4 linked regions of the Lepisosteus oculatus genome follow. The protein of the gene in region 2 purifies or fractionates together with the protein of the main gene of each other region. This does not show direct contact. Links are inferred from orthologs where the notes say so. Each region holds a gene or a part of one and is shown on either strand. Other genes may lie near its edges.

The links.
Region 1: the proteins of FACT complex subunit SSRP1 (region 2) and chd1 purify together in Homo sapiens (affinity purification with mass spectrometry; 3 studies listed by BioGRID and IntAct, with this or other methods). This does not show direct contact. The link is inferred for Lepisosteus oculatus from reciprocal best matches to the Homo sapiens genes SSRP1 and CHD1.
Region 3: the proteins of FACT complex subunit SSRP1 (region 2) and mcm2 purify together in Homo sapiens (affinity purification with mass spectrometry; 6 studies listed by BioGRID and IntAct, counting the BioPlex papers as one, with this or other methods). This does not show direct contact. The link is inferred for Lepisosteus oculatus from reciprocal best matches to the Homo sapiens genes SSRP1 and MCM2.
Region 4: the proteins of FACT complex subunit SSRP1 (region 2) and sap18 fractionate together in Homo sapiens (co-fractionation; 3 studies listed by BioGRID and IntAct, with this or other methods). This does not show direct contact. The link is inferred for Lepisosteus oculatus from reciprocal best matches to the Homo sapiens genes SSRP1 and SAP18.

What each region holds. Positions count from the first base shown.
Region 1 is NC_090698.1:55,020,232-55,027,689, reverse strand, and holds the start of chd1 (chromodomain-helicase-DNA-binding protein 1), read left to right. Parts: upstream 1-4,445; 5' UTR 4,446-4,799; intron 4,800-5,147; exon of another isoform or gene 5,148-5,228; intron 5,229-5,793; exon of another isoform or gene 5,794-5,882; intron 5,883-6,212; exon of another isoform or gene 6,213-6,318; intron 6,319-6,452; 5' UTR 6,453-6,598; coding exon 6,599-6,651; intron 6,652-7,458. UniProt on the Homo sapiens protein: ATP-dependent chromatin-remodeling factor which functions as substrate recognition component of the transcription regulatory histone acetylation (HAT) complex SAGA. Regulates polymerase II transcription.
Region 2 is NC_090701.1:42,561,180-42,569,151, forward strand, and holds the start of FACT complex subunit SSRP1, read left to right. Parts: upstream 1-4,970; 5' UTR 4,971-5,396; coding exon 5,397-5,450; intron 5,451-5,778; coding exon 5,779-5,964; intron 5,965-7,358; coding exon 7,359-7,464; intron 7,465-7,937; coding exon 7,938-7,972. Other genes in the region: pold4 (DNA polymerase delta subunit 4), read left to right, coding at 1,443-1,467. UniProt on the Homo sapiens protein: Component of the FACT complex, a general chromatin factor that acts to reorganize nucleosomes. The FACT complex is involved in multiple processes that require DNA as a template such as mRNA elongation, DNA replication and DNA repair.
Region 3 is NC_090699.1:59,492,458-59,500,008, reverse strand, and holds the start of mcm2 (DNA replication licensing factor MCM2), read left to right. Parts: upstream 1-4,550; 5' UTR 4,551-4,620; coding exon 4,621-4,626; intron 4,627-5,628; coding exon 5,629-5,816; intron 5,817-6,603; coding exon 6,604-6,773; intron 6,774-7,551. Other genes in the region: ccdc51 (mitochondrial potassium channel), read left to right, coding at 1-75, 1,198-1,362, 1,937-2,683. UniProt on the Homo sapiens protein: Acts as a component of the MCM2-7 complex (MCM complex) which is the replicative helicase essential for 'once per cell cycle' DNA replication initiation and elongation in eukaryotic cells.
Region 4 is NC_090710.1:31,923,640-31,931,445, forward strand, and holds sap18 (histone deacetylase complex subunit SAP18), read left to right. Parts: upstream 1-4,801; 5' UTR 4,802-4,862; coding exon 4,863-4,934; intron 4,935-5,458; coding exon 5,459-5,568; intron 5,569-6,979; coding exon 6,980-7,102; intron 7,103-7,203; coding exon 7,204-7,360; 3' UTR 7,361-7,587; downstream 7,588-7,806. UniProt on the Homo sapiens protein: Component of the SIN3-repressing complex. Enhances the ability of SIN3-HDAC1-mediated transcriptional repression. When tethered to the promoter, it can direct the formation of a repressive complex to core histone proteins.

The sequences.
Region 1 (7,458 bases), on a different chromosome or scaffold from region 2:
CTTCACATTCCACATAATGAAAGAATTGTCTACCGGATATGTTCATATCCAGTTGAAAAGAAAAAACAGATAATGAATTAGGCCTCATAACCAGACTGTGAGCAGAATAATCTGGAGACAATCCTGGATGTCTTTCTGAAATTAATAATGGGAAATTTATAATGAAAGAATTGTCTGCTTGAAATGTTCATATCCAGTTGAAAAGAAAACAAATATAACAAATTAGGCCTTATAGCCAGACTGTGAATTTCCCTTCTCTATTAGGCAACTGAAAACACCTTTCAGACATTGAGTCATCCCTTATGAGTAACCCCCCAATTCAGGCATTATCAGGGAACAAGAATTTAAATAAATTTACTTAATCCATGGATAAAGCTTGAACTAAAGATATGGAACACAGTTACAAAAGAGTATCACTTAAGTGACGCAGTTAAGGTACTCAGATACACAGGTGCATCCACATTAAGGAATTTAAACAAAAAAGATTGGATAATAGATTTAAAGTTTGGAGAAAAAAAGAAATAAGGGCATTTTGTACTATAATGGATAAGCTTTTAAAAGAGAGACACCATTTGGAGAAGCAAGAATTATAGATATTTCTAAGTGTGCCCTAAATCACTAGTGATATTAAAAAGGGAGAACTGTATATTGATGATGCAGTGGTGAAAGAACAGTAGTTATGGAAGCCTACAAATTGGAATCAAGTAAGGGTATTATATCTAGATTTTATAAGGGTTTTATGGAAAATGAATTACATTCTACGGATTATATAAAAGGTAAATGGGTGAAAGAAAGTAAAGTTAGGGTTACAAATGAAGAGTGGTTTAAACTTTGTGAATTTCAATAGAGATATACTACCTCACATTTATGGAGATAGTTTTGCTGGAAAAATGTTGTTTGATTCTTTATTACTCTGAGGCAGAAGGCACACCCTATTAGGGGAAACTCTAAATGATGGAGACATTGTGGAAACCAAGAAGGTAATCCCATATTTTGGGAGTGCCCCTAAAAAAGTATTTTCTGAACGGATTTACATGAGGCCCTGGAGAACTTATTTGAAAGGAATTTACTCTTCACATTTGAGCTGTTATATATTATGTTTACTTAAGGGTTACTGATAAGGTAAAAAAGACTACAAGAAAGTGGCTTCTCCTGGGTTTACCAATAAATGATGGGATTGAGTCAATAAATGAAATACATATAGTGGAAAAATTAATATTTTCACTTAAATTACAGAAGAACAAATATTGGTCTAGATGGGTTAATTAAGTACATTAAAACTTAGAAGTCTGAATTTGTTGAGATGCAGAATAACTGAAACCCGAATTAAGAATGAACGTTTACATACTGTTCTTGCTCTTCATAATAACTTACGCATCTTCTTTATTTTGAATATTAGGAGTTAGGTAGAAAGTGAGTGAAATAATTGTAAAAGATTACGGGAACAGATGAGAACAGACTAAATTCCTATGTATGATGTATATTTCCAAATTTGTTTGGTAAAAGGATGGTTGTTATGCAACTTGGACTGTTTTTGTCTGTTTTCTAAACTAAAAAATTAGAAAGGAAAACACCTTTCAGAACTAAATACAAACAGTAATCCGCTTGGAATACGGTGTAAAGCTTTGGTTGCTGTCTTATAAAAAAGCACTGAATTGGTCCAAAGAATGGCAGACAGAAGCATTCTGGGGCAGAACTTCTTAACCTTAAACAAAGACTACGGGGGGACCTGATCCAAGTGTTCAGAGTCCTGGAGGAAAGGGACAAAATCAACGCAAAGGACTTCATCCAAACCCACAGTGAAACCCTAACCAGAAGTCATGAATGCTAACAAGGCGGATGTGCACTGGAAACGGGGAACAGGGGCTGTTTTTGTATGCAAGAGTTGTGGACGTTATGGGACGAGCTGCCCAGCCATGTTGCTGGAGCCCGTAACCTGGTTTCCTTCAGGAGATCCCTGGACCAGTTAGCTACTCAGTGTCAAATGGGCCTGATGGCTTGAAGGGTCCCCTCTCCTTTGTAACCCTTCTGAGGTTCCTAAGAACATATATTATGTATCTTACTACAGCGTATATGTTAGAATACATAGTTTTAAAATAAATCTAAACAGATAAATAAAAACAATGAATTTAGCTACACATATTAACTTAAACAAAATAAATATAGGAAAACTGGCGACATGATAGCAGCTAACAAGATGCGACAATAGCATATAATAATAAAAGAAGAATAATAATAAAAATACATAGTAAATTCTTAGAAAAGTCAATGAATTGCATCAACAAGGACAGACCACAATTGGCAACAAAACAGGTACAGTGTATACTGTATAAGTTCAGGTGGGTAGCTGCATCAGCATGTGTAGGCTGCAAAGGAACAAGTAATAGGTTTACTCCATGCTGAAAAAAAAGAAGAGAGAAAACACAACGTTTCAGCAGTGGAGCCTTCTTCAGGTGCAAGCCTTCTTCAGCCCTCACACCTGAAGAAGGCTCCACGGCTATTACAGTTTATATAATACTAGAATACACAGTTGACCATGTACTGTATATACTGTAGAACAGAACAATTAAAAGATAAGATAGGGTGATTGCTGGAGGGTCCAAGGCTCCTCTGTTTCTAATGTAGCTCTCTTATAGTTGCCATTTTCAGTTCAGCGTCATATCTCCTCACATGAGAGGACATGGTACAATTAAATCTTCAACAGGATAGTGTGACAGAGTCGCAGCTCAGAAACCTTTGCAGAGGCTTGCCTGGGACAACAGGACAGGAAAGAAGCCCAGGAGGGGAGTTCAACCTAGAAAAATTACCAAAGGAACTGTGGAAAAGACTGTTGTAGATGCAGTTTTTAATTTTTCAGTTCAGAAACATTATGTGGAAAGAAAAGGTGACAATGACAGCTGACACATGAAAGGAAAAACTGATGAAAATGTGGTATGGTACCTTGAGTAAGACATGGATCTGAAGTTTCTTTGGTGTCCCAAAAAGAAAGTAGGCACAGCACAGAAACAACGCAGTTCCATCCTTCAGGCTCATAGAACTTATGTTGTTATAGGTGGTGGAATTGTAATTCTACTTTCGACAAAAATCCTAATCCTAATGATAATAATAACAATAACAAAAATTAAAAAAACGTAATTTTATATAGTGCCTTTAAAGGTGGCTTCTCAAAGCGCTACAAAAATCCTAAACTTACTCTCAGGTAAAATCTTATTAAAATTAGAAAGTAAATATCCTGAATTAATGTGATGATACTGCCAAAGTCCTGATGTAAACACTTTTGAAGAATTATATAAATATAATTATATAAATATAACTTGACAGGACAGTGCAAAAAAAAAGCTCTTAGCCAGCTTCTAAACTGGTGTGATGGGAATACCTTAAACAAATGCTCCTGTGATTATGGGCCATTTCATGAACAATCTTTACAAAACAACTACCTGACTTTTATTGCATTGGATTCTGAGAAGATCACAAAGTTTTCATTTTGTGCTTTTTTCTGCTTGTTTTAATTTCTTTAATATTGTCCAGGTGACCCCGTAACTGTGACTGCCTTTATACATGTGCTGTATATATACCATATATGTTTACAAACATTTCTCAGTGTAACTGTATCCACATTAAAAACATGCTGTGTGTTTTGCACTTCTCTAGGTAGTTGCTTTTCCTGTTATTTTCAAACTGTGTTTTTTTCTATTTGTATGTCCCTTTCATATACAGCATTGAAGGATTTAATCTTTTGAAAGTAATCAGGAAGACCCTTGAGGCACAGTTACGTCAAGGGATCGCTGGGGTTAACAATTGTTCTGCTGGCATTCCTCAGTGGGTATCAGTCTGGCCTTGTCTGAAATGGTTGATCAGTTTATCCCCATGACCCATTCTCATAATGTAAATATACGCGAGAATACTTTTTTGTTATGGAACGATAATTTCATACGAAACATAAAAGTGTATGCTTCTATAAGCAAACTCTTTTCACCCTCAATCAGAAAGCGATTTCTTAAGGTGAGACTTCAAGGGCAGTTTTAATAGGCTCTATATGTTATCACAAAAGACCTGGGAGGCGGGATGGGTAACTCGAGTGTTAATACTGGTTCAGACATAGATACTCAGTGAACTGGGGCTACGCAGCGCCCAACACGGAGCAGGGAGACGTATCACCCGGGTGTCCGTCTGACTGAAGTGCGGGAAATGGAGAAAAAAAAAAACACGCCGATTTGAATTCCTTCACAAGCGTAGTCAGGCTGGAGAACAGAAAGCTACCATCCTTCCAGCCGCGCCAGCCAATGGTGGTGCACTATCTTCTTTGGCAATTGTTTCCAGGGCAGTGACACCGCCGACACCCCCTCCTCCGCGCGGCCTCTCCTTTCTCCCAGGTCCCGTTCGCGAGTCGCACTCGCGCAGCTCCCGAGTTAGCGAGCGCCGGCGTGACGTCACGGCCCGGGGTTTCCACTCTCCGGATAGGCAGAGTGTGTGAGCTCGACGGCGTCATGGCGGAGGCCGGCAGAGAGAGGACCCGTAACTGATCTGGCTGCAATCAACAATCTTTCGATTAAAGAAAGCCCGTGCTTCGGTATCGAAAGGAGAAACTGGGGAAAAAAGCATATTAATACCTCCCCCCGACCCTTCTGGCAGCCCGGAGGAGGAACCCTGAGGGAGCCGGGCTCTTACGAAACCCGAGTTTACAACCGAGCCGAAGTGGTACTCAGCAGCTCACAGCGACACAGGACCTGGCAAAGAAAACAGAAATTGTTACAAAAAAAGGAGCCCGAGAAGTCGGACGGAGGCAGGCGACCCAGGAGGTACAAAGCGAGGCGCGACTCGCGTGTATGTGTGTGTGGAGGGAGGGGGGGGCTGAAAACGCGGGGAGACGAGCTGTGGGGGGCACGGTTGCCCCCAGTCAGCTCGAGAAAGGCGACGATTCCTGGGCGCCGCGAGACGGACGTGCACGGGGAAGAGGGGACAGCGGGCTGGCGCGTGCGGTGTGTCAGTATGCGAGCGCGCGGAGGACGGGGTCCGGGCGGCGAGGCGGCGCGGGGATAAAAGAGCCGATTGTGCTGGAGGGCAGCGGGGGGAAAACAGGCTCCGGACTGGGGGGTCTGTCACCCCCGGCTCACGGTTTTTAAAGTGGGAACCCGAGGAAGGGATGGCATTTTGTTCCTGGCTTAATGCGATTAACGAAAATCGGCCAAACTTTTTTTTTTTCCTCTTTAAAATGTGCACCTTCTGAAGTAAGTTTTTTTTTCCTGCTCTGGTAAGGTGCTGGCTTGCTGTTGAGAGAAATATATATATAAAAACAAACAACAACAGACCGAATACGTTGTAAATCAAACGCTTCTCGAAGCCCGTCCGGTTTGCCCACCGCGGCGGCGGCGTGGTCTGCCCGGCTGCGCGGCTGAGGGCGCCGCTCCGTGCTGCCGGTCGCCGGCGGGCTGCAGGGAGGATGCGGGCAGAGGCGCTCCGGCGGGGATCTTTGTTCAGGAGAGTCCGCCTCCAACTCCAGCACGCTGCAGGCCTCGCATCTGGGCCTCTGCGGTCTAAGAGAAGGTTGCATCGCATCGTTTTAAGATTTGGAGACCGGGCCTGAATTACCCACACATGTCTCTTACTTCTAGCCGTTTAAGACTTGGGTTTCGTTGGGGTTTTTTTTTTTATCCGAACGATCAGTTCGACTGCGGGTTGATGTTTCTGACAATTGTGGCGGCGGCGGCGGCGATGGTGTGTGTGTGAGGGGGGTGTCCTCGACATGATTCTTGTAAATAAACAGCAGAAGTGTTGATGTGAAACGGAGCCCGTCGCGGTGCCGGGGCGAGCTGGCGAGCGGATCCTAGGTCAGGGGGAGCCATGCCGAACTGGAAGGGCGACAGTGCCGACAGGAACGCGACGTGAGTTTCTTCTTGATGTTTGCGGGTGTTTTCACACGCTCGCAGGAGCAACAGCTGAAGTTGGAAACGGGAGCGGTAGCAAAGCGTCGCTTCCACGACGTCGCTCGCAAGAAGTGCCCAGAAGGAGCGGAGCGACGGCAAGTTGATCCGCGGCGGTTCTGCCGGAATTCGGGGAGGCACGTCCGGGTCTCCCGTTAGGAAGATGGACATGAAGGCATGTCCCTTAGTTACATGTGTATAAAATAATTGCCACGGAAACGGCTCGTTTGTTCTTGCCTGAATAGTATTTTACTCTTCATGGAGGAGGGGCGGTGATAAAAGGTCAAGACGTCGCTAATTCGAATGAAGGTTGAGCCCCAGTACCAGTGTTTCCCCGAGACGGGGACCAGCGGAAGGTCTGTCCCCGGAGGGGCCGGTGACTTCGGCTCTTGATTTGGTGGGTGTTCAGTCGCCGGTGGCGTTCAGTGCAACACTACCGGAGCAGACCGAGCAAAAAAAAAACAACACAAGTACCGTGACAAAGCAGCTGCGACTCGGTCGTGTGATAAACGTGTCTCGCCCACTTTCTAGGCTACCCGGAGCCGCTGAGGAGTCCTGGATGAAGAAACCGCAGTCCCTGTAACGCTTCAGTCATCAAAAGTGGTCTGGACCCGTTTGCGTTCTTCGAGCACCTGGCAGAGAAGGCCGTGGAACCGGAGCTGTTTCCGATTTAAGAAATGGATGGGCGCAGCGACGAAGAAAGTGTGAGCAACAGCAGTGGGGAATCCAGGTACGGTATCGTGTCGTCTCTGTCGAAACATCGAGTGCGCTGCTTGAAAGTGAAGAGCAGGAGAGGCACTGCCTGTGCTTTTCTTCGCCTTTTAGAGTTTGGAAAGCGCAGCAACCACACATTTTAGCCTGTGTAGTGTAAGGACATACGTGATGTGCTGTGTGAGGGAACTTTAGTATAAGTCGGTGTAAAGGAAAGGGTGAAGGAGCTGGATGTTGGTCCATGAAGATATGGAGTTCTGGCTCTGTACCTGTGAAGTGTGCAGTCAAGATCGGTGGCACAGAATATGCACCTAGGAGAGTTGAGTTCCGGAGGTGTGGAGGTAACAGATAACATCAGCAGTCTTCAGTCATATTGGTAAGGCATACATTGGTGGCTTGTGACCCTGGGAGGTTTTCTTGGGGCCTGGCACTAGCAGCTCTGCCTCTTAGTTTACTGAGCTTTAAAAGCCCAAACACTCTGAATAAGGATAAAACTATGGCTTTGTTTTAACGAGAAAGTGTTCAAGGAGAAATATGTGGGACAAGCTCTTTATAACTCGTTTTTGTAGCACCATAATGTAAAATCTTAAGGGTTGATGTTCTTTAAGTGCTACACTGGAATTACACTGTCAGAAAATGTCTTCAATTCAACTTTATTGTCATTAAACTTACACAGGTGCATAGTATAATGAAAAGTGTTTCTCATTAGTCACTCAGGTGCAGTATATAAATAGGACAGAAGATAAGACAATAGACAGTTACACAATAGCAATAACAGTAACATGTAATAACATAAATAACATGTAATGTATTTTACTAATAACTA
Region 2 (7,972 bases):
GCTTTGCACGCTGGTTAGGAGTTAGGTAGGCTTTACACGCTGGTCAGGAGTGAGGTAGGCTTTGCACGCTGGTCAGGAGTGAGATAGGCTTTGCACGCTGGTTAGGAGTTAGGTAGGCTTTGCACGCTGGTTAGGAGTGAGGTAGGCTTTGCACGCTGGTTAGGAGTGAGATAGCCTTGCACACTGGTCAGGAGTGAGATAGGCTTTACACGCTGGTCAGGAGTGAGGTAGGCTTTGCACGCTGGTCAGGAGTGAGGTAGGCTTTGCACGCTGGTTAGGAGTTAGGTAGGCTTTGCACGCTGGTTAGGAGTGAGGTAGGCTTTGCACGCTGGTTAGGAGTGAGGTAGGCTTTGCACGCTGGTTAGGAGTGAGATAGCCTTGCACGCTGGTCAGGAGTGAGGTAGGCTTTGCGTTTCTTTAAGGCATGAGCACAGTTAGGTTTGCGCCACACATAGCACTTTGACTTTTGGCCGATCTTGGTCTGTCTTGGTCTCTTTGTCCAGATCTTAGCTGGATACCTCTTGTGCTGTCTGGTGAACTCCAGACGGGCTTTGAATTGTTTTTTTTGATGGGTGTCTTTCCTGCCATCCTCCCATACAGGCCAGTGATAAAGACCACAGCTCTTGATATAGCTGACTGATGCACCTCTACTCCACTCTCAGCCACTGAGCTCTGTAGGTCTTTCAGATTGATTGCTGGTTTCCTTCACAGGTCTGCTTCTTGTTCGGATGCTGAGTTCTGAGGAACAGCCTTTTCCAGGCAGTGTCCGGGTGGTGTGAGCACTGTTAGATTATTGAGCTGACAGTGCTCACTGGGATATCCAGGCACTGTGATATTTCTCGTACTCATTGCCTAATCTATCCAATTTTTAATCACTTTATCTCTGATGTCCTTAGAATGCTCTTTAGTCTTCATTTTCATGGCTTTATAGCTTTACTTCAGATTCACTGCCTGACCAATGATCCTGAAACACACTGGGGGTTTTATCCAGTAAATGTGACAGTCACTTCAGTAAGTGTGACAGTGACTAGGCAGGGGCCAATGGTAACACAATTGTATCCTTGTCAGGGCAATTTCATTCACCTGTGTTAATTCAGAGCCATGAGATTAGAAGGGCTGGAATACTTATGCAAGCAGCATATACACACCCGTATACAGTATATATACTGTGCACACTGTACACACAGTCTACTCTATCTATATACTGTGCATGTGCACACTGTACACAAACTCTCATTGTATATATATATACTGTGCACACAGTACACACTACTCTGTATATACTGTGCACAGTACACACACTCTACTCGGTATATATGCTGTTCAGTCTCTACACACTCTCTACTCTGGATATACTGTATACTGAAGGCATTGTGAGTACTGCAGAGCATAACTTGCCAGTGTGCACACAGTGTAATCAGTCCTTTTTCTGTGTCTTCCAGTCTGTGGCACGAGTACCCCCTGTGACCCAGCGCTGTGGAGAAGAGAGCGAAGAGTGAATGTCTTCAGTGTTACACACACCAGCACCTCTATTCCAGAGCCCTGCGCTCCTCTTTTATACTGGATTGTAATCACAGCTTTGACATAGTGATTGTTCAAGAAAGATTAAAATTTTAGATTTTGGAAACTGCATTTCTCATGCCTGGTCTGTCTCAGTGCAGTGTTAATGTCCTGTAGTGTCCAGTCAGTGTATCTGGACTGTATTAACCCCCTCTCTCTCAGTGGAGTGTAAATGTCCTGTGGTGTCCAGTCAGTGTGTCTGTACTGTATTAACCCCTTTCTCTCAGTGCAGTGTTAATGTCCTGTAGTGTCCAGTCAGTGTGTCTGGACTGTATTAACCCCTCTCTCTCAGTGCAGTGTTGATGTCCTGTAGTGTCCAGTCAGTGTGTCTGGACTGTAATAACCCCTCTCTCTCAGTGCAGTGTTAATGTCCTGTAGTGTCCAGTCAGTGTGTCTGTACTGTATTAACCCCTCTCTCTCAGTGCAGTGTTAATGTCCTGTAGTGTCCAGTCAGTGTGTCTGTATTGTATTAACCCCTCTCTCTCAGTGCAGTGTTAATGTACTGTAGTGTCCAGTCAGTGTGTCTGGACTGTATTAACCCCTCTCTCTCAGTGCAGTGTTCATGTACTGTAGTGTCCAGTCAGTGTGTCTGGACTGTATTAACCCCTCTCTCTCAGTGCAGTGTTAATGTCTCTCTCTTGCTCCTTCTCTTATTTTCTGTTCCATTACTCTGTTTTCATCTGTCCCCCCTTCTCTCTCCCTCCTGAAACATGATCTTCTACATCTCTCTGTGTTAAACCTATTCACCTCGAAGGCACTCATTAAACACTTCAGATTGATCTCTTTATCGCTCATAAAAGAAGGAGAATTTAAAATGAAAGAGAGAAGTATTTTAATGTGATGGTAACACCCATCTTCTTTCACAATCGTTCCTTCACACACACACACACACTCCCTTTCCTCTGCATTCAAACACATCAGCCTGACACCTTGTACTCTCAGAAAGCAGAGACGTGTTGGGATTTTCTTTTTTGTTTCCACTTAAAGCTTCACTTTTGAGGAAGAGTTGTGGGAGTGTGGAACAAGCTGCCCAGCCATTTTGTTGAAACTGATACCCTGATGTCTTTCAAGAAACATCTGGATGAAATTCTTGGATCAATTAACTGCCAATTATCAAAGAAGGCGAGATGTGTCAAATGGCCTCCCTTTGTGACTTGTGATGTTTTTCCGAGTATACTTTTACAAAAACAACGTAGTTTTCATGTACTGTAGAGTCCACTCTGTGTGTACTGTATTAACCCCTCTCTCTCAGTGCAGTGTTAATGTCCTGTAGTGTCCAGTCAGTGTGTCTGGACTGTATTAACCCCTCTCTCTCAGTGCCGTGTTAATGTACTGTAGTGTCCAGTCAGTGTGTCTGGACTGTATTAACCCCTCTCTCTCAGTGCAGTGTTAATGTACTGTAGTGTCCAGTGTGTCTGTACTGTATTAACCCCTCTCTCTCTCAGCTGTTTCCGTGATGCTGCTGGTTAAGACCTCATTGCCAGATGGTACAGTTTTGTGCAGGAGGTATACGTTAAGTTTAAGCAGTGTAGGACTGCTTAAAAGCTCTCCTGTTTCGTCCTTAATTGTGAAAGTCTCTGGTCTCTCTCCCCCCTCCCTGGTCTCTCTGTTGGAACAGGACTAATCCTAGATTACCAAAGCAAACAGAGTGTATCTGTCTCACTGTGTTCAGTGCCTCTTCTTTCTCTTCCTATTGTGCCCCAGTCATTCCTGAAGCATTAGCAGTGTTTGCTGGGTGATTACTTTAATACCTCCATGGCACCTCACTCTGACAACTGCTACACCAGACTGCACACATAGTGTGGCCACAGCTAGTGTGTGCATGGTGCAGGAGAGAGATTGTGTGTTTTGTGTGTACAGTATGTGAAAGGGAGTGTGTGTATTGTGTGTACAGGGTCTGAGAGAGAGAGTATGAGTGTGTATTGTGTATGCAGTGTAAGCAATTGTGTGTATATTTCACATGCAGTGTGTGAGGAAGTGCGAGGGAGTGTGTATGTATTGTGTGTCAGCAGGTGTGTGTGTAGTGTGTGTAGTATGTGACAGTGAGTGTATGTAGTGTGTGTAGTCTGTGTGTGTGTAGTCTATTTGTGCAGTGTGTGTGCAGTGTGTAGTGTGCATGTGTAGTGTGTGTGCAGTGTGCATATTGTGTTTGTGTAGTGTGTGTGGTGTGCATGTGTAGTGTTTGTGTAGTGTGGGTGGTGTGCGTTTGTAGTGTGTCTGGTGTGAGTGTAGTTTGTGTAGTGTGTGTGTGGTGTTTGTGTAGTGTGGGTGGTGTGCGTTTAGTTTGTGCAGTGTGCGTGTCGTTTGTGTAGTGTTTGTGTAGTGTGGGTGGTGTGCGTGTAGTTTGTGTTGTGTGTGTGGTGTTTGTGTAATGTGGGTGGTGTGCGTGTAATTTGTGTAGTGTGTGCCAGGAAGCGCGGTGTTTTTACAGAACAGTCCGGACAAACCCGCTGCACTGATCGCTACAGCCCGGCTGCTTTGTTTCCCCACAAGGCTAAAGCTTTCAGTTCACAGACCCCATGAATTATACATTCCTCCATCTTAAATTATATTTGTCTGTATCTTTGAAGTTTTTCAAACACTAGAGTGATTCTGTCCAGAAAAATATTATTGGACGTATTTGCGCCTCCCTGCGACACTGAACCGACAGCGGCTGCTCCGAGCACGAAAACCTCAAGCGCGGTCTATGTCTCCCTCTGCTGTCAGAGTGTGTGTGTATCGTTTATACAGTGTGTGAGAGTTATTGTGTATACAGTTCGTGTGTATTGTATATACAGTGTGAGTGTGTGTGTGGTGTATACTTCATGTGTATTGTGTGTACAGTGTGAGTGTGTGTTGTGTACTCAGTGTGAGAGAGAGTGTGTGTATTGCATATACAGTTTAAGTGTGTGAATTGTGTATACAGTATGAGAGTGTGTGTATTGTGTGTAGAGTGTGAGTGTATTGTGTGTACAGTGTGAAAGTGTGTGTATTGTGAACACAGTGTGAGAGTGTGTGTGCATTGTGTATCTAGTGTGTGTGTATTGTGTATACAGTTTGTATGTATAGAGTGAGAGTGTGTGTATTGTGTCCAGTGTGTGAGTGTGTGGATTGTGCACTCTGTGTAAGCGAGTGTTTGTGTATTTGTACACGTATGAGAGAAGCAGTTTGTAGAGCGTGTTTACTGTGTTGTCTCACTAAGCCCATATAAACTCTCCGAGGCCAAGACAGCGCCTCCACGGTCCCCACGGATTGTGTGCGCTATTACGGTAAAAGAACAACAATAACCATACAAATTTATGCGTTGTAAAGGTCGATAGTTCATATAGATTGTATTGGGTTTGGCTCGCCCTTTTCAAGCGGAGGCAGAGTAAAATACATTGCGCCAGTTCATTGTGTTATACGGCAGGTCGTAAGGAAGCGGAAGTCAACGCTTTGAGTTTCCGGCTCCTCTTCCGGTAGAGGCCCAGGTGGCGGGTTTGACGCGGGAAAGTGTCTTCTGTAACACAAGTAATCACGATTTCCGAAGACATTTTACAACAGGGGCACCGAAAGTTGTAAGTCCAAGAAGACTAAGCGCATGTCCTTTCATTTCTTCGCAATCGAAATTAACAGTTAAGAGACGCAGCTGGGGCACCGCAAAGCAACATTTTAAACCCCTTGTTATTTATGCGCTACGTTGTGTTGACTCGGCGTGGTGACTTACTGAGCGCCGGGAGAGGAGTCGTTGGTTTCGAATCGTGCCGGGCACTCGGAGCAGTACCATACCGCACCTCGTTGTTGATAGAGCCCGTTATTTCGCAGCTACAGACATTTGAAGTCTCAGTTTTTAACCCGTGGAGTGTCGCAGTGGAAAAATGGGAGACACTCTGGAATTTAACGAGATCTACCAAGAGGTGAAAGGATCGTGGGTGAGTTACACTGAGCTCTCTCTTCCTCTGCATCTCGGATTGAGAAATATTCAGTGGTGACGAGGGGCTTATAATTTTGAGAATTTTACTGTTGTTTGTAGTCGTAGGATATACTGTATATTCTCTCTCAGTGCAGTGTTAATGACCTGTAGTGTCCAGTCAGTGTGTCTGGACTTTATTAACCCCTCTCTCTCAGTGCAGTGTTAATGTCCTGTAGTGTCCAGTCAGTGTGTCTGGACTGTATTAACCCCTCTCTCTCAGTGCAGTGTTAATGTCCTGTAGTGTCCAGTCAGTGTGTCTGGACTGTATTAACCCCTCTCTCTTTCAGAATGATGGTCGTCTGCGTCTCAGTAAGCAGGCTGTGGTGTATAAGAACAGTAAGACCGGGAAGGTGGACAATATCCCCGCGAGTGAGCTGACAGAGTGCGTGTGGCGGCGAGTGTGCCTGGGTCACGGGGTGAAGCTGCTGACCAGCACAGGACACATCTACAAATACGATGGCTTTCGGGAAAGTGTGAGTACACTGGCCAGCCCCCTCACACGCCGCCAGAGATCGAGGACAGGGATGTTGTGCCGTATGGATTTCATGAGCAGGGTCTGTCTGGCGGAGTCTGTTAGGAGAGATGTCTTGGCTGCAATAGAATGACAGGGGTTATGCTGAGCGTGTGTCTCTAGTACTCTCTCTCTCTCTCTCTCTCTCTCTCTCTCTCTCTCAGTGTACAGCCCTGTGAGAAGACGCACTGTCAATTCAATTCAAGGTGCTTTATTAGCATGACCGATGGGTACAATCAGTGTTGCCAAAGCAAATGAAAGTAAAACAAAAAATAGAAGTAAAATAAAATCTACAGACATTTACAACAAAGACATATTATAAAATATTGACATATACTTTAGGCGGCTGGAGCATTATTGGGAGACAGACTCACCGTTCCTCAGGCTGTGACAGGAGCCTGGCCATAGAAACTGGGCGACACAGGCAGACCTGGCTGCCCGGAGAGGACAGGCTGTGCTCCCACTGCCAGCGGGGAGAAATGGAGACAGAGGTGCACTTCCTACTGCACTGTGAGGTCACTGTCTCTCTCTCAGTGTACAGCCCTGTGAGAAGACGCACAATTTAGTTCAATTCAAGGTGCTTTATTTGCATGACCAATGAGTACAATCAGTGTTGCCAAAGCAAAACAAATACAATTAACGTAAAACAAAACATCTACAGACGTTTACAATAAAGACACATCATAAAACGTTTACTTATGGACATATGGAGCATTATTGGGCTACAGGTTCACTGTTCCTCAGGCTGTGACAGGAGATCACATACTGGGCTGCCAATTCAACTGAGTTCCCTGCTCCCTCTCCCAGTAGGATTGGGACACTCTCTCATTGTACAGCCCTGTGAGAAGATGCACACATTAGTTTCCTTCCTATCTGTTATCGGGTTTTGCATTAGGATGTACAGTAGATGTTCGTAAACATCAAACATCTAAAGAACACATGTTTATTTGAGAAACAAGACGTCTTAATAGAGCTGCAGTCTTTTCCCAACGGCATCATGTAGCTCTGGAACGTGTGAATGATCTCTTCAGAGAAACAAAAATTGTCGTTCAGCAATCCTGGAGCTATTTGGACCAAGTTCAGTGCAACATACAGTCTAACAAGTTGATGTTGGTGTGCACTTACAAGTGGATGAGACCTCTGAGAGTTTTGTGGTAGATGATTTCTAAGGAAGCCCGATTGCTAGTGTACTGGTGCGGGCAGAGCACCTCCATCTGGATCAGAACGAGTCCGCTGTCCCAGGTTGGGAATTGTGGTCCTTCGTGTCCCCCAGGTGCCTGCCTCTCAGTGGGGTCCTTGTAGGTCTGTGGGCCTGGTGCCCCCCTGAGCTGATGTCATGCCCTCTTATGTCCGCAGGACTTTGAGAAAATATCGGAGTATTTCAAGAACAATTACAGGGTGGAGCTGATGGAGAAGGACCTGTGTGTGAAGGGCTGGAACTGGGGTACAGCCAAGTTTGGAGGTACGCCTTCAGGACAAGTACAGACAGGGTGTCATCACTGTTGTCAATTTCATACCCTTATGCAGGAGGGTTTAAGTATGAAAAAATATATACTCAGTGTGTGAATCTGTATCATACTAACCCTTCTCTCTCAGTGCAGTGTTAATGTCCTGTAGTGTCCATTCAGTGTGTCTGGACTGTATTAACCCCTCTCTCTCAGTGCAGTGTTAATGTACTGGAGTGTTCAGTCAGTGTGTCTGGACTGTATTAACCCCTCTCTCTCAGTGCATCCAGTGTTAATGTACTGGAGTGTTCAGTCAGTGTGTCTGGACTGTATTAACCCCTCTCTCTCAGTGCAGTGTTAATGTACTGGAGTGTCCAGTCAGTGTGTCTGGACTGTATTAACCCCTCTCTCTCAGTGCATCCAGTGTTAATGTACTGTAGTGTCCAGTCAGTGTGTCTGTACTGTATTAACCCCTCTCTCTCTCTCTCAGGTCCTCTGCTGTCATTCGAGGTCAGTGACAGTCCT
Region 3 (7,551 bases), on a different chromosome or scaffold from region 2:
AACAACTGGTGGGAGAAATATGAGGAGTTTGTGGGGCTGAATGAAGTCCGAGATGCACAGGCAAAAGTCACAGAGGTAAGTGGGGGAAGTTACAACTACACTGCACACTAGTACTGAGAAATAAAGGAACACGTTTTCTACAGTTCTGCCGAAATGTTGGAAGAAAAATCCCCAAAAAAGCAGTACAATGATAAAAAGTGAAACATAAAAATAGGATTTAAAAATAAATTGCTTATTTTTATTTAAACAAATAGTATACCACAATTTCTTTTTCAGTTAAATGATGTTAGACAGTTGTGCTGCATCGCTTACCTAATATGCTTGGGTCATACATTTATAGATGTACTGTGGATGTATCTACGGCTGTTGTCTTTACATAATGTGAAGGTGTTTATAAGAGAAACATTCAAAGACACTGTGCAGACCTTGGTTAATAAAGTAATAGTAAACCTTAAACCTTTAACTTGTAACTAAAATTTTGTATAATATACAAGCTACCTATAAAGAAGCCATTAGCATTTCAACTGTTCATTTCCCAATACCTTGGTTGTATCTTTTCTTTACCCAAATGCTAAATGTTTCAAATAACATTTCACTGTAGAACAATAAAAATGGTAATGAAATAATCCCCTAGGATTGGTTTCTATAATTCTACTGCTCTCAAAAGCACCTTAAGACCAGTAGATTTATAGATTCTGATATTAGATCCCCTGGAATCCTATGACAGGGGCTTAATTAACTGATTCTTAAGCTCAAAAAATGTTTCAGAAAAAGGAAAAGTCAATTGCCCTGTCTTTATTTCAGTCTTATACGGCACACCACCAACATTCATAGTAGTCATTTACATACCCTACCAATACCTTTAATAAGAAGCAGAACGTCATCCTCATATAACATTAGTTATTTGTAAATATAACATGTATTTTCTTAACCTTGATAATTAACATTTTTAATAAGTGTTTATATTACACTTTTTTTTTTCTTCTTCACATACCCTCCTATAGGAATCCTATTTTAATTCTAAAAAATGTGGTATAGCCTTTCGGGTGTTTACTTGGCTTGTCCATCAACAGTGGGGAAAACCAAATCTTTCCTCCTTGCTTTTGATAATAGACGTTTGTAAGGCTAGCCTGGACCTGTTGGTTCAGTTAGCTGCTCGTGAGTTGGAAAATGAGCGAGGGTTTCTGGGTTTCTCAGGCGGAGCAGGCTTTCATGGTGGCCAGGGGGATCGTGCGGGAAGCCCACGAGAGCCTGGAGGCCCTGCAGGTGAGGCTGAAGGAGGTCCGTGATCGGCTGGACCGCGTGTCCAGGGAAGAGGTGCACTACCTGGAGCTCGCCACGCTGGAACACAAGCTGCTGCAGGTGGGCGAGCCCGTCATTCTTTTCGCTTGATGTTAAAACGCCACTTATTACTGCTGTCTCGGTTTCCCTGTCTGCTTTCGTACTTCATGGCGCTTTTTTTGCAGAACTGTGCTGTCGGGAGCCCGGCATTAAATGATTTATAAGTACAGTAGAAAGCCCGTGTCTAAGGAGCTACATTCAGAGCGGTGTCATTCACTGCGACACGCTAGTCTGGCTCTCCGCCATTTCTGAACACCACTTCTTCTGTGACCTACATTGTCTGTCCGTTGGTGCTAGTTATGTACATTCCTCTGAGGAAATGTTTGTTGCCATTACCTTTTGACAGATTGATTTTTCTGGAGGGCATTGAGGGATTTTTTTTGAAGGCACTCTTTTCAGTTAGAGCCCCAAGAAAGGAAATCTGGAAGAGACTTCACGCCAGAACGACAGGATCGGGGAAAAAAAAACCTGATTCCACACTGGGTTATTTAAAGGGGGGTGGGAGGTGTGCTTTTGTAATTTAAGACAATAGGGGTTGACTTTCATCTTAATTAACTTCTGGAACCCTGTGCTTCATTTTGCTTCGCTGTTTTAGGAGGAGCGTCGCCTCCGTACGACCTACAGGAACGCAGAGGAGGCGGAGCGGGAGAAGTTTGCCCTGTTCTCGGCCGGGGTGCGGGAGAGCCACGAGAAGGAGCGAGCCAGGGCTGAAAGGACAAAAAACTGGTCCGTCATCGGCTCGGTGCTGGGGGCCCTGATCGGAGTGCTGGGGTCCACCTACATCAACAGAGTCCGTCTGCAGGAGTTGAAAAGCCTCCTCCTGGAGGCTCAGAAGGGACCTGTGAGCCTCCAGGAAGCAATTAAGGTGCAGGCCAGTATACATGAGTCTCAGCAGGAGGAGCTCGGCGGTCTCATTAATAGCCTGAGGGGCACTTTGCAAGGACCAAAGCCAGCCGATAAGGCAGGGACAGCTGCAATCAAGATACTTCCAAGTGCCTCTGATTCGGACTTAAAAGAACAGTTGCTTTTCAGCAAGAAGATCCATGGTTTGATTGAAGGCATCCAGCCTCAGTTAAGAAAACTGGAGCATGAGATGGGGAAGGTGGCATCTGAGCTCCAAACAGTAAAGGTGGTCATTAGGTCTCGCCCAACAGAGAACCAGCTTTTAAAGTCCCAGGATGTGCAACCCTATGATACAGAGGGCATCATGCTGGAATTGACCCAATCAGAAAAGAGACTAGAGGCACAAATAAACAGGAACACTATGTACAACACAGTTTTAACATACACTGCTTTTGCACTAACACTTCCTGTGCTGTACCTCATCTTTAAAAGCAACTGAAACAGAATTGAGGAATTCTAGATAATCTGACTATTCCTTTCAATTAGTATGTGCATAATCAATTTACAGCACTAGATAATGAATCATCTTCTGTGAATCTCTTACATGAAACATCTCACAATAGAGACTGGTATGTCAAAAGTGAAACATTGTTAAATCATTCTTGAAATAAAAGCTAGTAACATTATTTTGTGTGTGTGTGTGCATTTGAAACATTCTTAAAACTAAGTCAGAAGTAATCCCAGGTAATATAGTAGGTATGCATTAACGGTGTGTTAAAAAAATCAGAATACTTTTTTAAGGGGGAGGATTAGGTCTTTGGAAAAATAATTTGGTTATCTGTTTTGGGACTTCTTTGCTTTATAGTTGATTTTTTTTAGCCCTAGCCTAAAAAACAACATACAGTATGTGCAAAGAGAAACTAATGTGCCAAGTAGTTCAAGTAGAAATAACACCAATACACATACATAACTCAGTACAACACAGTTGAGTCTTTTATATGTTTGGAATAACGTTCAGAATTCTGCTCAAATACTTTTACAGTATTTTTTTGCCAATAAATCATAAAAAATGTCAGCACTATATATCAACCTTCAATCCAAAGAAATACACATCTATGCATATATACATTTTACAGTGAGTCTTTTCTTGTCAGATAAAAATAGAAATATTTGTGTTTTATGTTTTATACTGTAGAGCTGTGCAGACAATTTAAATTGAAAGAAATCCATTAACCCATTACTCTAACCACTTTATGCAATACAGGGTCATGATTCTACTCCAGCAAGCAATAGGTGCCAGAAAAGATACACCCTGGATGGAACACTAGTCCATCTCAGGGGCATACACAGGCACAAACACACACACACTCGCACCAGGACCGATTTTCTGAGGAGCCAATTAACTTACCAGTATGTCCTTGGACTGTGAGAGGAATAAAAAAAATACATGATACAACAAAAGTGTAATATGGAAGGTGACAATGCTGGAATATGCTGTATTAAATCAAAACAGGTTCAAGCACAACTACATAAATACGCTACATCTGAAAAATCTGTATGGTACAGGCATCCCACGGAACTGATTGTTTCACCCAGTAATGAGTATTGTTCACATCACTTCAGCCTGGGAACTTCATATTGAAACAGGGATCTGCATTCATATGAAGTCATGTCAAATATCTTCTGCTACGGGGAGATAAGACTACAATAACCTACTGTTGCTCTGGAAATGGACATGAAGTAAAGTGATTGGAGGGTGATATGTGATATAAAACGTGTGTTCTACAAACAGTTATGACATCCCTACAAAACTGAATGACTCCATTTAGAATACTTTGTCAACCATGCCATAAGAACATCTCAGTTTTGTAAAACGTACGAAGAAAGGTAAGTGGAGGTGAATGTAAAGTCCATCTCTCTGTGAAGATAATAATTAATAATTATATTAATAAATAATTAATAAATAATAATTTTGAACTGAGTAATAAAACTCCTAAACCTACTAAACAATGTTAGGCTACACTAATGTAGTCCGGTGTTCTTACGCTAATCAGAGTATGCGAAACCAACCCCCAGATCTTGCCTTTAAAGAATATAAGTGTTTTTCAGTACAAAAAGGACGCACTCCTATCAAAAGTACGGTATTGGAAAACACGTGTCTTAACTAACAGCAGCGCAACGAATCTGCTAAAGTAAAGCTACTTGCTAAGCACCTCCCCCATTTCCTGGGCTGGACTAAAAGTGGCCGGACATGGGTTCAATATCCGTGACTAATGAATATTTATAAGTCATGGACCAATCGGAAAATGCGTTCGTAGTTCTAAATTAAATATTCATACGTTTTCGCGCGCTTTGCTGTCACATGGCCATTTCGCGCGAAAAAGAGAGAAACAGCAAGTTTCCTTGCAGGAGAGAGAAAGTACCAGGAGCTACAGAATGGCCGTAAGTAGAGAATGGAATTATTTTTGTTTTACCGATAGTGAATCGCACTTTTTTTAAAAAAATTATCGTGTATATTTGAAGTGGAGAAGATTTACAATCTATTTTTTTCGTTCGGTTTAGTTAGGAATTTGAGCTTTGTTATTAGGCTTTGAAATCATTTTCATGTCCTAAACCTTAAGCTTGAGTTATTTTGCACTCGAAAAGCAGTCGTTTGGGTTAACGCTTGCTTTATAGGTTTTGTAAGAATCATTCTTTGTTAAATACTGTTAGGATAGGAGGTGAACCGGAACGTTATATACGGTGTATATATATGTGGTGTCTGGATTCAGAGTTAAAAATCACTTTTAAAATATTTACGGTTGTGTTTATGAGTTTTTTAAGAAACGTTGCTATATTTTTAATTTTAAAGCAAGTGTAGTCTAACGCGGCTTTTGGATTTTAGTGGGAAGTGAGGTGAAAAGGTTTTCATTGTGTCATTCTGAGGTTTACGTTCTAAAGTAAGGAAGGATGTTTTAAAAGTGGCGTTCCCATTATTTTAATGATGTAATTTAGAACATCATCCTCAAAATGTAACTGTGGTTAGTAGAACTACAGAAGCATTCGAGACAGTGCGCTGCTCTTTGTGTGGTAGAAACTCCCTGAGCACACTTGTTCGACTGAGCCCTGCTCGCCGGTGACTGATGAAGATGTTGGAAAAACAAACTCCAGAAGCATTAGTGTTCAGAAGGCGATTTTAGTCCAATCTGCGTGCCTTCATTTCAACTTTTAATTCCTGGTGTCCTTGACGGCCCTCGGTAACGCAAACAACGCTGGGTTATGTAAAAAGGAGGAGCCAAATATCAAATTTCTACAGTGTCTAGTCCATTGCTTTTTTTTTTTTAGGGTTCTTTGTAGGAGTTCATATATTCATCATTACTTTTTGGTCCTGTAGTGTAAAAAAAAAACCCAACAACAACTAGATGCCAACCAACAGAATTTGAATTGAGCTCATCTCGTTCCCAGGATTCTTCCGAGTCCTACAACATTGCCACTAGTCCCAGCCAGGCATCCCGGCAGGGTGATCTGACGTCCAGCCCCGGCAGAGATCTGCCCCCCTTCGAGGATGAGTCCGAGGGCTTGCTGGGAGAGGACCCCCTCCCCGAGGAGGAGGAGGAGGATGGAGAAGAGCTGATCGGGGATGGGATGGAACGGTGAGTTCTGCGCTGACTGCTTTGCCGCGATCATTGTGCACAACAAATGCATCTCGCTTTGGCATGTAGCATTTCAGCAGGTAATTACAGCGCGGTGCATTCTTTCGCGTTATCTTTTGGAGTATGGCATAAAATATTGAAATCACCACAGAGGTGAAGTTAAATTGCCTATCGGGCAGTACTTTCCTGTAGGAGTTTAAGACCAAATGTAATGGCGTTGGAAAGATCCTGTCGGAGTTATAAAGTACTGTTATTTTTGTGTTTGGTGTATGTTATTCGACAGCTAATAATTCAATTATGTGGAGTAGAACAGTGAGTTCAGTTAATTTAAAACTAGTTGCGTTATAGGATGGACAGTGATCTAGCAAGCTGCAGGATATATAATAAGCCTAATGCATTGAAAAGCTTAAAAAGGTATTGCAGGGTGTAGTATTGTGAATCATGGCAAACAGAATTATAGTGTGCTTATGTTTTTGCTAATGATGTATCACTGCATTAGTGACGGCACATGTGGGGAATCTTTGTTGGAAGAAAACTGCAATTTTAGCTGTGGGTATTAAAAGATCCTACAGGTTAATACTGTTCAGCATTCTATAGCTTTTAGAGCAATGCCTTGTTTTACCAGGAATTAGAGGACTACAGCAACCAAAACCTTTCTTAATTATTCTGTGCATATTTGTGGTCAATAAAAGGGATTGCAGGAATTTGTGTTTTTTTTTAGAGACTTTGATCACTTTTTTGATGCTTCCAAAAGCAACGTTTTAGTTCATTAAGCGTCTGTCTGCAGGGACTACCGGGCTATTCCAGAGCTGGACCGCTACGAGGAGGAGGGGCTGGACGATGAGGAGGATCTGTCGGAGCTCTCGCCCGGCGCCCGAGCCGCAGCCGAGGAAGCCATGAGGAGACGGGACCAGGAGAGAGGACTGGGGGGGCGTCTAAGAAGGGGGCTGCTGTATGGTAAGTCAGCAGTGATCCTGTAGCCCAGTGAGTGAGAAAGTCCCAACTAAATCTTCCGGTGCCCAGAGCACATTCAGTAACAGGTCTTGTCTGAGAATGACATGAGTTCATTTAATCACATTATAGACCAGTGTCATAGGGCGGAGCGGTGGCTCTATGGCTAAGGATCTGTGCCTGTGACTGGAAGGTTGCCGGTTCAAATCCCGCAGCCGGCAGAGAAATCCTACTCCGTTGGGCCCCTGAGCAAGACCCTTAACCCCAACTGTTCCAAGGTTGCCGTATAAATGGCTGACCCTGCGCTCTGACCCCAAGCTTCTCTCCCTGTCTGTCTCATGGAGAGCAAGCTGGGGTATGCGCAAAGACAAATTCCTAATGCAAGAAATTGAATAGGGCTAATAAAGCGACATTATCATTATCTTTAACAAGTAGAGGTGTCCAGAAAGGGGAGTGGATTTTCTGAGTATTATATCGCTATTATACATGACAAGAAAAGGTACTGTTGTGTACCGTTAACATAGTGTCTCAGAACTAAAAGAGGAAAAGCTCACAGTGTAGAACTGTTATTTCCATCCTAATTGAAATTGATTTCTGGTCAGAAAAGTTTTATGCCTTTTAATTCCGTTCCTATGGAGGGTCCATTCTCTTTCTCCTCATGAGGAAGGGCTTAAGATTATTCTTTAGAATTCCTGAAGATCACATTGACCCCTTTTCTGCAACAGCCCTGTATATTTGGGGGAGGATCACCTGGAAGGAAATGAGACTAACGTTTGCACTTTGC
Region 4 (7,806 bases), on a different chromosome or scaffold from region 2:
CCGCCGCCGGTCAGGTCTGCAGCCGTGGCCACACCCCATCACCCCTCCTGGGGGGGGAGGGATCTGGGGGACTCGGCAGCACCACCTGCACCGCCCTGCGAGACGCCGTGAGAGCCCCTTCTAACCCGCTGCTTCCCAGCACGCTTCTGCAGCAGCGCCTCCTGGACAGCTGTGTTGTTCCTACATTAGGTGCGCGATAAAACTACCTCATACTGCAGCGTGCTAACATTTTAAACACCCTAAAATGTCATTGGTAAGGAACATTCTGGATTTCTTCCATCTCCAGCATCATTTCCAGAAAAAAAAGGCGTGTTCTGTATAACGGAGAAAGAAAATAATATGCAACTTGTTTAAAAAGTTCGGAACGTGGGCAGGAGATCTTGACACGTCTTTATAATAAATATAAGACACACCTCTCCTGAAAACCATGCGGCTGCCTGCAGCTTACACTACCTCTAATGCGACTAAATTAAAAAAAAACCCTGATCAATCTGATAAATTACAGGGATGCTTCTGAAGTAAAACGCTGAGCTTTTATAGACGTCTATCGATACCTTTTTGCAATAAGTGCAATATCGCACAATAATGGAAAGGATAACGAACGCGGAGGTGTCCGGCCACCGCAGTCGAATTGAACCCGACTCTGCAGTTCAATCAACAACACAAACAGCGTGGCCGCTGGGAAGGACATGGACGCGACAACAATGTTTCACAACCTCCCAGTTCACAGTTCACACACAGTGGTGGGACGGTCAAGTTCATCTTTGTGCCTCTTAAAACAACACCCAGCTGTATCCTGTAACATCTGCTTTTCGAGAGACTTACACTCGGATACCGACCAGACTGTAAACGGGTTTTGAAGTCTGTCATACAGACGGCGGAGTTCATGAGAATCGAGAGACAGGGGCAGCGGGCGGCAGGCACGATATGTGCAGCAGCTCGCTGGGAAACACATGCAAGAGACGACGGTGCCCATTTAAACCGTGGTAACAGTGTCAGCTTTGTAGCAACCCGAAAAATGTTAAAAATGTACAAGACAGAAGCAGACGCTGCGCTGAACCCATCAACCGATACAGAGTATATACACGTCCACGGGCACCGACAGACGGGGAATTACACGATCTGCCCCCTCGTTTAATTTCTCTGCCAAGAAAAAAAAATCGGCACATTGAAAACGTTTTAGGCACTCAGCTCTGCTGCCGTTTTTCGGAACTTCGACTTGCATATGACAAAACATAATCATTACTGGCTGTGCTCTCTTCTCCCCACCTCCTTCTCGACAAAACGATGAAAACCCCTCCGACACCTTACCATCGTCTCACGGGCTCGTCTCGGTCCTTCGGAGCGCTGGCTGCCTCCCCAGCCCCTTCTGCAAGCCGCGTGTCTTTTATTTAGATGGCAGATCCCTAGTTAACGTCGTTCCCCCCTCCAAAAAAAAAAAAGTTAAGAAAAAAAACTTCACAGAGCCTGTTCGAGTTGGGGCTGAAAGTTTGCGATCTGGTCCTGATTGGAGTGACTGGAACGCAGGTCCGGAGAAGGAGCCCGACATTCCACCTTAGGGAGACTTTGAAGTTTCATCGGCCACCCCCCCCCTTCTATATATGTTGGCATGTGCGTGCGTGCGCGCCTTCAGTTGAAGACGAACGCCCCTACCCGCACCCCACATCGGCTGTCGAGAACAGAAATACATTTACGATTTTTAAAATTAAAAAAAAAATCATCGAACCGCCGAAAAAAAATCGAAAAGTTGCACCTTTCCCAGACGCGGGAGCATAGCAACCACTCGCAACAGCAAAACGCGTGCATTGTAAGAAAAAGTAACGGTAAACTCTCTAAAAACAAACAAACAAACAAACAAACAGAAATGCATCAGGAGAAGGGGAAAGTTACCTTATCTGCTGCTGCTGCTGCTATCGTGAACGGGGCTGTCCTTCAGCCACCCAGCTCAGCTCAGTGCCTGCGGCCGGGGCTCACGCCGGTATGAGGCTCCATTTTCTCCCTACAGTGGGCTGAATTAGGACGCTGTGCTCAGTTGGACACTTTCTGCATCGCTCGCATTCCAGGGGGAGCACGTGACGCCCCCGGATCACGTCAGCGGCCCGCGCGCTCGCGGACTGGGGGGCGCTTCTAGCGCTCGAGCGCGGCTTCGTGACCCAAGAAGAAAAAAAAAAACAAAACAACCAAAAACCCCACAGACGCGCAGGGCGCCCCGGGAAGCCAGGAAGCCGACTGGCAACACGCCCGAATGTGTGTCTTTCTGTTTTGTCACCCCCCCCCACACACACACACAAATCCCAGTGTTTAGGCTGAAGTCGTTATTGAGCCGCAAAGGAACAAGTTTTAGGTTCATTCCCGGCTGAAAAGAGAAGGAAGACAACACAACGTTTCGGCTGTTGAGCCTTCTTCGGGGGGTTATTCAGCCTGAGCAGATCTTAAAAATCAGTTGTTGGCTATAGAAATCGCGTCAGCTACAGATAACTAAACGTTCAGTTCATAGCTACAGGTGACTGTACATTTGGTTAAACGTACAAGGCCCCAGTAGCCAAAGTACAATTAAAACCCAGTCTTAGACGTAATAAATGAAGGAAAAACAAACATGCACTAGGAGCGGCAACCCCAAAAGTGAACGAGGGGCAGGTTGGTGAAGATCACCTCAAGACCCGCGTTAATTTCCTGCCATTTTAGCCAACATAACGCGTAAGAAGAAGCATCAATAACGCAGGACAGGATGAAACAGTCGCTAGGCTCCGGTTACTGAGGCTGGAGGGGTGCTTATTGTTTCAGATCTAAGCGGCCCAGAGCACTAAGGAGTGAAAATGTGCCGCTGGAAAAGCGTGTTAGAGTGCAAAGCAACCGACTAACATCGAGGGAAACCGACAAACGGCTTCCTTGTTTCAATGCTGTCATTGCGCTCTGGACAGTAAATCTAAGGACGAACCGTTTTGTATTGTTTTAAAACACGTCCAAACATCCACATAATTATCACGCATATTAATTCACGCACAGAGCGCTTTAAACACCATTGAGTTAACTCATCCAGATTAGATTTGAATAGCCTGGTCACCAGGACAGCCTCTTCTGAATCGGCTAGTTTGTGACAGCTTCTTCCAAGTGACAGTTTTGTTGTTTATAATTTCTTCCCACTGACCCTCTGTACCACAGTCCCCAGTGTCTCTCAGCTCCTTTTAATAGCGCTGCGATCCGGTTCGTCACGCGTTGCATGAGCAGATCTTGCTAGATGTACAGCTACAAGGAGAGCTGAGGAATTCAGTGTGACAGACGTGTTTGCGCCTGAATTACGTCGGATTATATCTCCTGGTAGTGATGCGGATCAGCTGGAAGACCGCGTTGTGTTAGAAAGTGAGCTATTATCTTTGTGACCCGTGGACCCGTTATGAGGTCCCACTGGGAAACACGACACAGGTTCGCAGACTCAGCCCGTCAGGAGTTACAGTCAAAGAGCCGCAGTACAGTCGGGGGGGGGGGGGGGTCTGACTGTAAATATGTTTCCTCCCTCTTTGTAAACCAGAGGTACAGTATGGAAAGGAAAAAAAAGCAGAGCAGATATTCTTTTCTTATCTCTCTACAGACCAGAGTGTCTCAGTGCATTAATAAAATTCAAAATGTTGAAGTACTGAATAAAACATAATAAATACCTCTATCAGTTCCACAGAGTGTTGAATTGCTTCATCTACGGATTGCTTAATATCATTTTTTTTTAATGAGTGACTCTTGGATGATCTCAGCCAGTAAAAACCTTCCGTTCAAAACTGAAGAGATGGACGTATTTTTCACAGAAGCAGGAAAGCGGACACCTACTGTAGCACACAAGCCCTAAGGAATGGCCTGGGCTGGAATATCTTGAAAGCACACATTGAAAGTCTCGACACAGGTAAAATAAACACAAGAACAGAATGGATACGGGCAAAAGGAGGCTTGTTTGGTTATTAAAAGCAAATTGACCTGGGAATCTTATTTAGCCTTCTCTTTAAAGAAGCAAAGTCAAATACACGCAACTACCAAAATAATGGAAACACCAACAATATGACATATTAATAACATCTTCAATGGTACATACTGTAATACAACTGCACTTTACAAAAAAGATTTAACAAGATAAGTAAAGATAAGGAAAAACTCTTGGGAAAAACTAAGGTTGCTGCTGGAAGAGGTGTTAGTGGGGCCAACAGGGGGCGCTCACCCTGTGGTCCATGTGGGTCTTAATGCCCCAGTATAGTCAAGGTCCTGACTCTCTGTGGTCATTAAAAATCCCAGGGCATTTCTCGAAAAGAGTAGGGGTGTAACCCCGGTGTCCTGGCCAAAATTTCCAATCGGCCCTTACCAATCATGGCCTCCTAATAATCCCTATCTATGAATTGGCTACATTACTCTGCTCTCCTCCCCACTGATAGCTGGTGTGTGGTGAGTGTTCTGGCGCACTATGGCTGCTGTCGCATCATCCAGGTGGGGCTGCACACTGGTGGTGGTGGAGGGGATCCCCATTACCTGTAAAGCACTTTGAGTGGAGTGTCCAGAAAAGCGCTATATAAGTGTAAGCAATTATTATTATTATTATTATTATTATTATTATTGTTATTATTATATAAGGTCCGCACAGCTGTCATGTTCTTACTGTTAGAAATAATCACCTTTAACCTAAGCACTTCAGAATAAAAAGGGTGTGCGCCTATTTTAGTCATTATACGATACGGAGAAGTCGCATTTTGATTGGCTCCATAGCCTTTAAGCTCATTCGCGGGCTACGTATCCTGTTACGTCATCACGACCCGTGGGTTGAACCGGAAGTTATACTTGTGTTTGTACGGGGTCGGCGTGAAGACGCGGGGGCGCTTTCTGGGAAAATGGCTGTTGAATCTCGAGTCACTCAGGAAGAAATCAAGAAAGAACCCGAAAAGCCCGTCGATAGAGAAAAGGTGAGTTGTGTTAAGCCGTTTTTGTCTATCGAAGATGCGCACGCACGGTTTGAGTGGTGCCTTGTATTTTGTTTTCTGGAAATGTGTGGAACGGTGTTGTGTTGGTCTCCATTAAACGCTTCAGTAGGTATGTGCTGTGTAAAACTGTGTTTTCATTTCGTGTTTCTTCGCATTTTGGGTAGTTGTACAGTGTCTCCCTCAAAGACAGTGAGACTTATTGAGTTTTCAGTTAAAACGATTTACTTTCTCTTCCTAATTGCTGCCAAACGTGTGCGATGCGAAGCAATACGAGTTGAGAAAACGGCGATAAAGTATATGTTTTTCTCACTTTCTTTCCTTAGTGAGCAAAATATACTTAAAGGTCATTTATTTACTTACAACGCGATGAATGTAGATGTAGCTAGCAAGTTTGTAATGCATCTTTTGTGAAACACGATGGTGAGCAGATACCACGCTTGAGACCACCTATCGGTTTCCCGCAACTGAAAAAAGCTAGGTACTTATTTTTGTTGTTTTGTTTGCAGACTTGCCCGCTGCTGCTGCGGGTGTTCACCACGAACAACGGCAGACACCACAGAATGGACGAGTTCGCCAGGGGAAACGTGCCCTCCAGCGAGCTGCAAATCTATACCTGGTAGGTCTGATGACACTTCACACCACGGGGCTCCCTGCTTGGGCCGGGGGAGCCCCACCCCAGCAAGTTGTTTTATAGGTCATCATAAAATAAGCAGTTTCTGAAGATATGGACCAATTCCACTGTAACCACCCCTGGAGCAGCTGGGGTTAAGGGCCTTGCTCGGGGGCCCAACGGAGTAGGATTCCTCTGCCGGCTGCGGGATTTGAACCAGCAACCTTCCAGCCACAGGCACAGATCCTGAGCCATAGAGCCACTGCACCGTTAAATTAATTTAGAGATATTTTAGGACTAAAATCTATGTACTTCTCAGATTTCAGGGATTAGTTATATTAATGATATCCTTACACCTATATAGCTCTTTTCTGGACACTGTACTCAGTGCTTTGCAGGTAATGGGGATCCCCTCCACCACCACATGGATGATGTGGTGGCAGCCAGAGTGCTCCAGGCTGCTCCCCACACACCAGCTCTCAGTAGGGAGGAGAGCAGAGTGATGAGGCTTATTGGGAAGCCATGACTGGTAAAGACCAGGGGGAAATTTGATCAAGACATTGTGGTAACACCCCTACTCTTTTTGAGAAACACCCTTGGATTTTAAATGACCACGGAGAGTCAGGACCTCGGTTTATTGTCTCATCCGAAAGACGGTGCCCATTTACAGTTTGGTGTCCCCGTCACAGACCCACACAGAACGCAGGGTGAGCGCCCCCTACTAACACCTCTTCAGCAGCAACCTGAGCTTTCCCAGGAGGTCTCGCATCCAGGTATTCGCCAGGCTCACACCTGCTGAGCTCCACTGGGTTGCCAGCTGTGAGTTAAAGGGTGATAGAGCTGCTGGGTCTCTGTTAATTGAACAGATTACTTGCTTGGTCAGTGTTGTCTTACAGTCTTTAAAAAGAAGTTGAGCAGTACTGGGGCTCTCCAGGACCAGCTGGACAGACTAACTGACCAGAAGAACAAAGCTGTTCACCTCTGCAGGTGCCCAGACCTGTTGCAGAGCCCTGATCCGAGAGACGTGGGCCCTGCGCTATCAACACGCGCCATTGGATATGGCATAGTTGTGGTGGTACTCAGAAGGCCAATGCTTTCATCACAAGCAATGAAATGACAAATGTAACTCTGTTGGCCTGCTTGTTTTAATATGCCAGGTCGAATTCAACCGGAACGCCAAACTTTTCAAAAACTACAAGAATGATCTTGCAGAATCTGCTGCCAGCTCCCCTCCCACGACCGTGGAAAACCTTAAGCTGTGCTGAAAGTGCAAATTTATTGTCTTGAGGTGACATTAGCCAAATATGGAGTAGTTATGTTTATTTTTCAAATGTTCTCCTGCTGTTGGAGCTGAAGTTAAGTGCTGAGTCTTAGCTTCCGTCTTGGGTACTTTAAAGAGTAATATTGTCTCAAATAGGATGGATGCTACCTTGAAGGAACTGACCAGCTTGGTGAAAGAAGTCTATCCAGAAGCTCGGAAGAAAGGCACGCATTTTGGCTTTGCCATCGTGTACCCTGACCCTAAAAGACAAGGCTACAGGTAAATACCTTGAGAAATACCGCCGTTACGGGCCGAGCTTAAACGCGCAGCGGCTGTGTTTGAACTGTGACACCTAAGATGATCTGCCCTTGGTCCTGTAGAGTTAAAGACATTGGGAACACGGTGTCCGGGCGGAAAGGAGCAGACGATTCCATGACTCTGCAATCGCAGCGGTTCCAGATAGGAGACTACCTAGACATTGCCATAACGCCGCCGAACAGAGCGCCGCCCCTGCCTGGACGCATGAGGCCCTACTGACCGCCGGGGACTGCGGCCGCTACGTTTTATATCCCCTGTGTTTCCTATTAAAGCCTTTTTTTCCTGCCTTTCCTGATTTAATTAATGTCGCTGTAGCTTTTTTTTTCTGGAAGCGTTTAAGGAAATTTAGTTTGAAAGCTCCTTTCATTTTTTCGTGAATTTTAATTTGCGTTGGATTTGGTAATTCAATTAAACGATTTCTGTGAAGGTGTTTTTTCTGAAAGAAATCTCGTGTGGGGAGTATGACGTTTTTTTAAAGGTGGGGTTTGTGTGAGCGTGCGTGACTGGGTCACAGGTGTGGAGTAACAGATTTACAGGAATTAAAACTTTGAGATTAGACCCTTGAGGAACCTGGTTTGGTGTTATACTGCTATTCGTCCTTGATCATGCTAGATGGCTGGTCTGGTTGATCACACTGTGCCTTGGTCTCTGTTAACCCCTCCAAA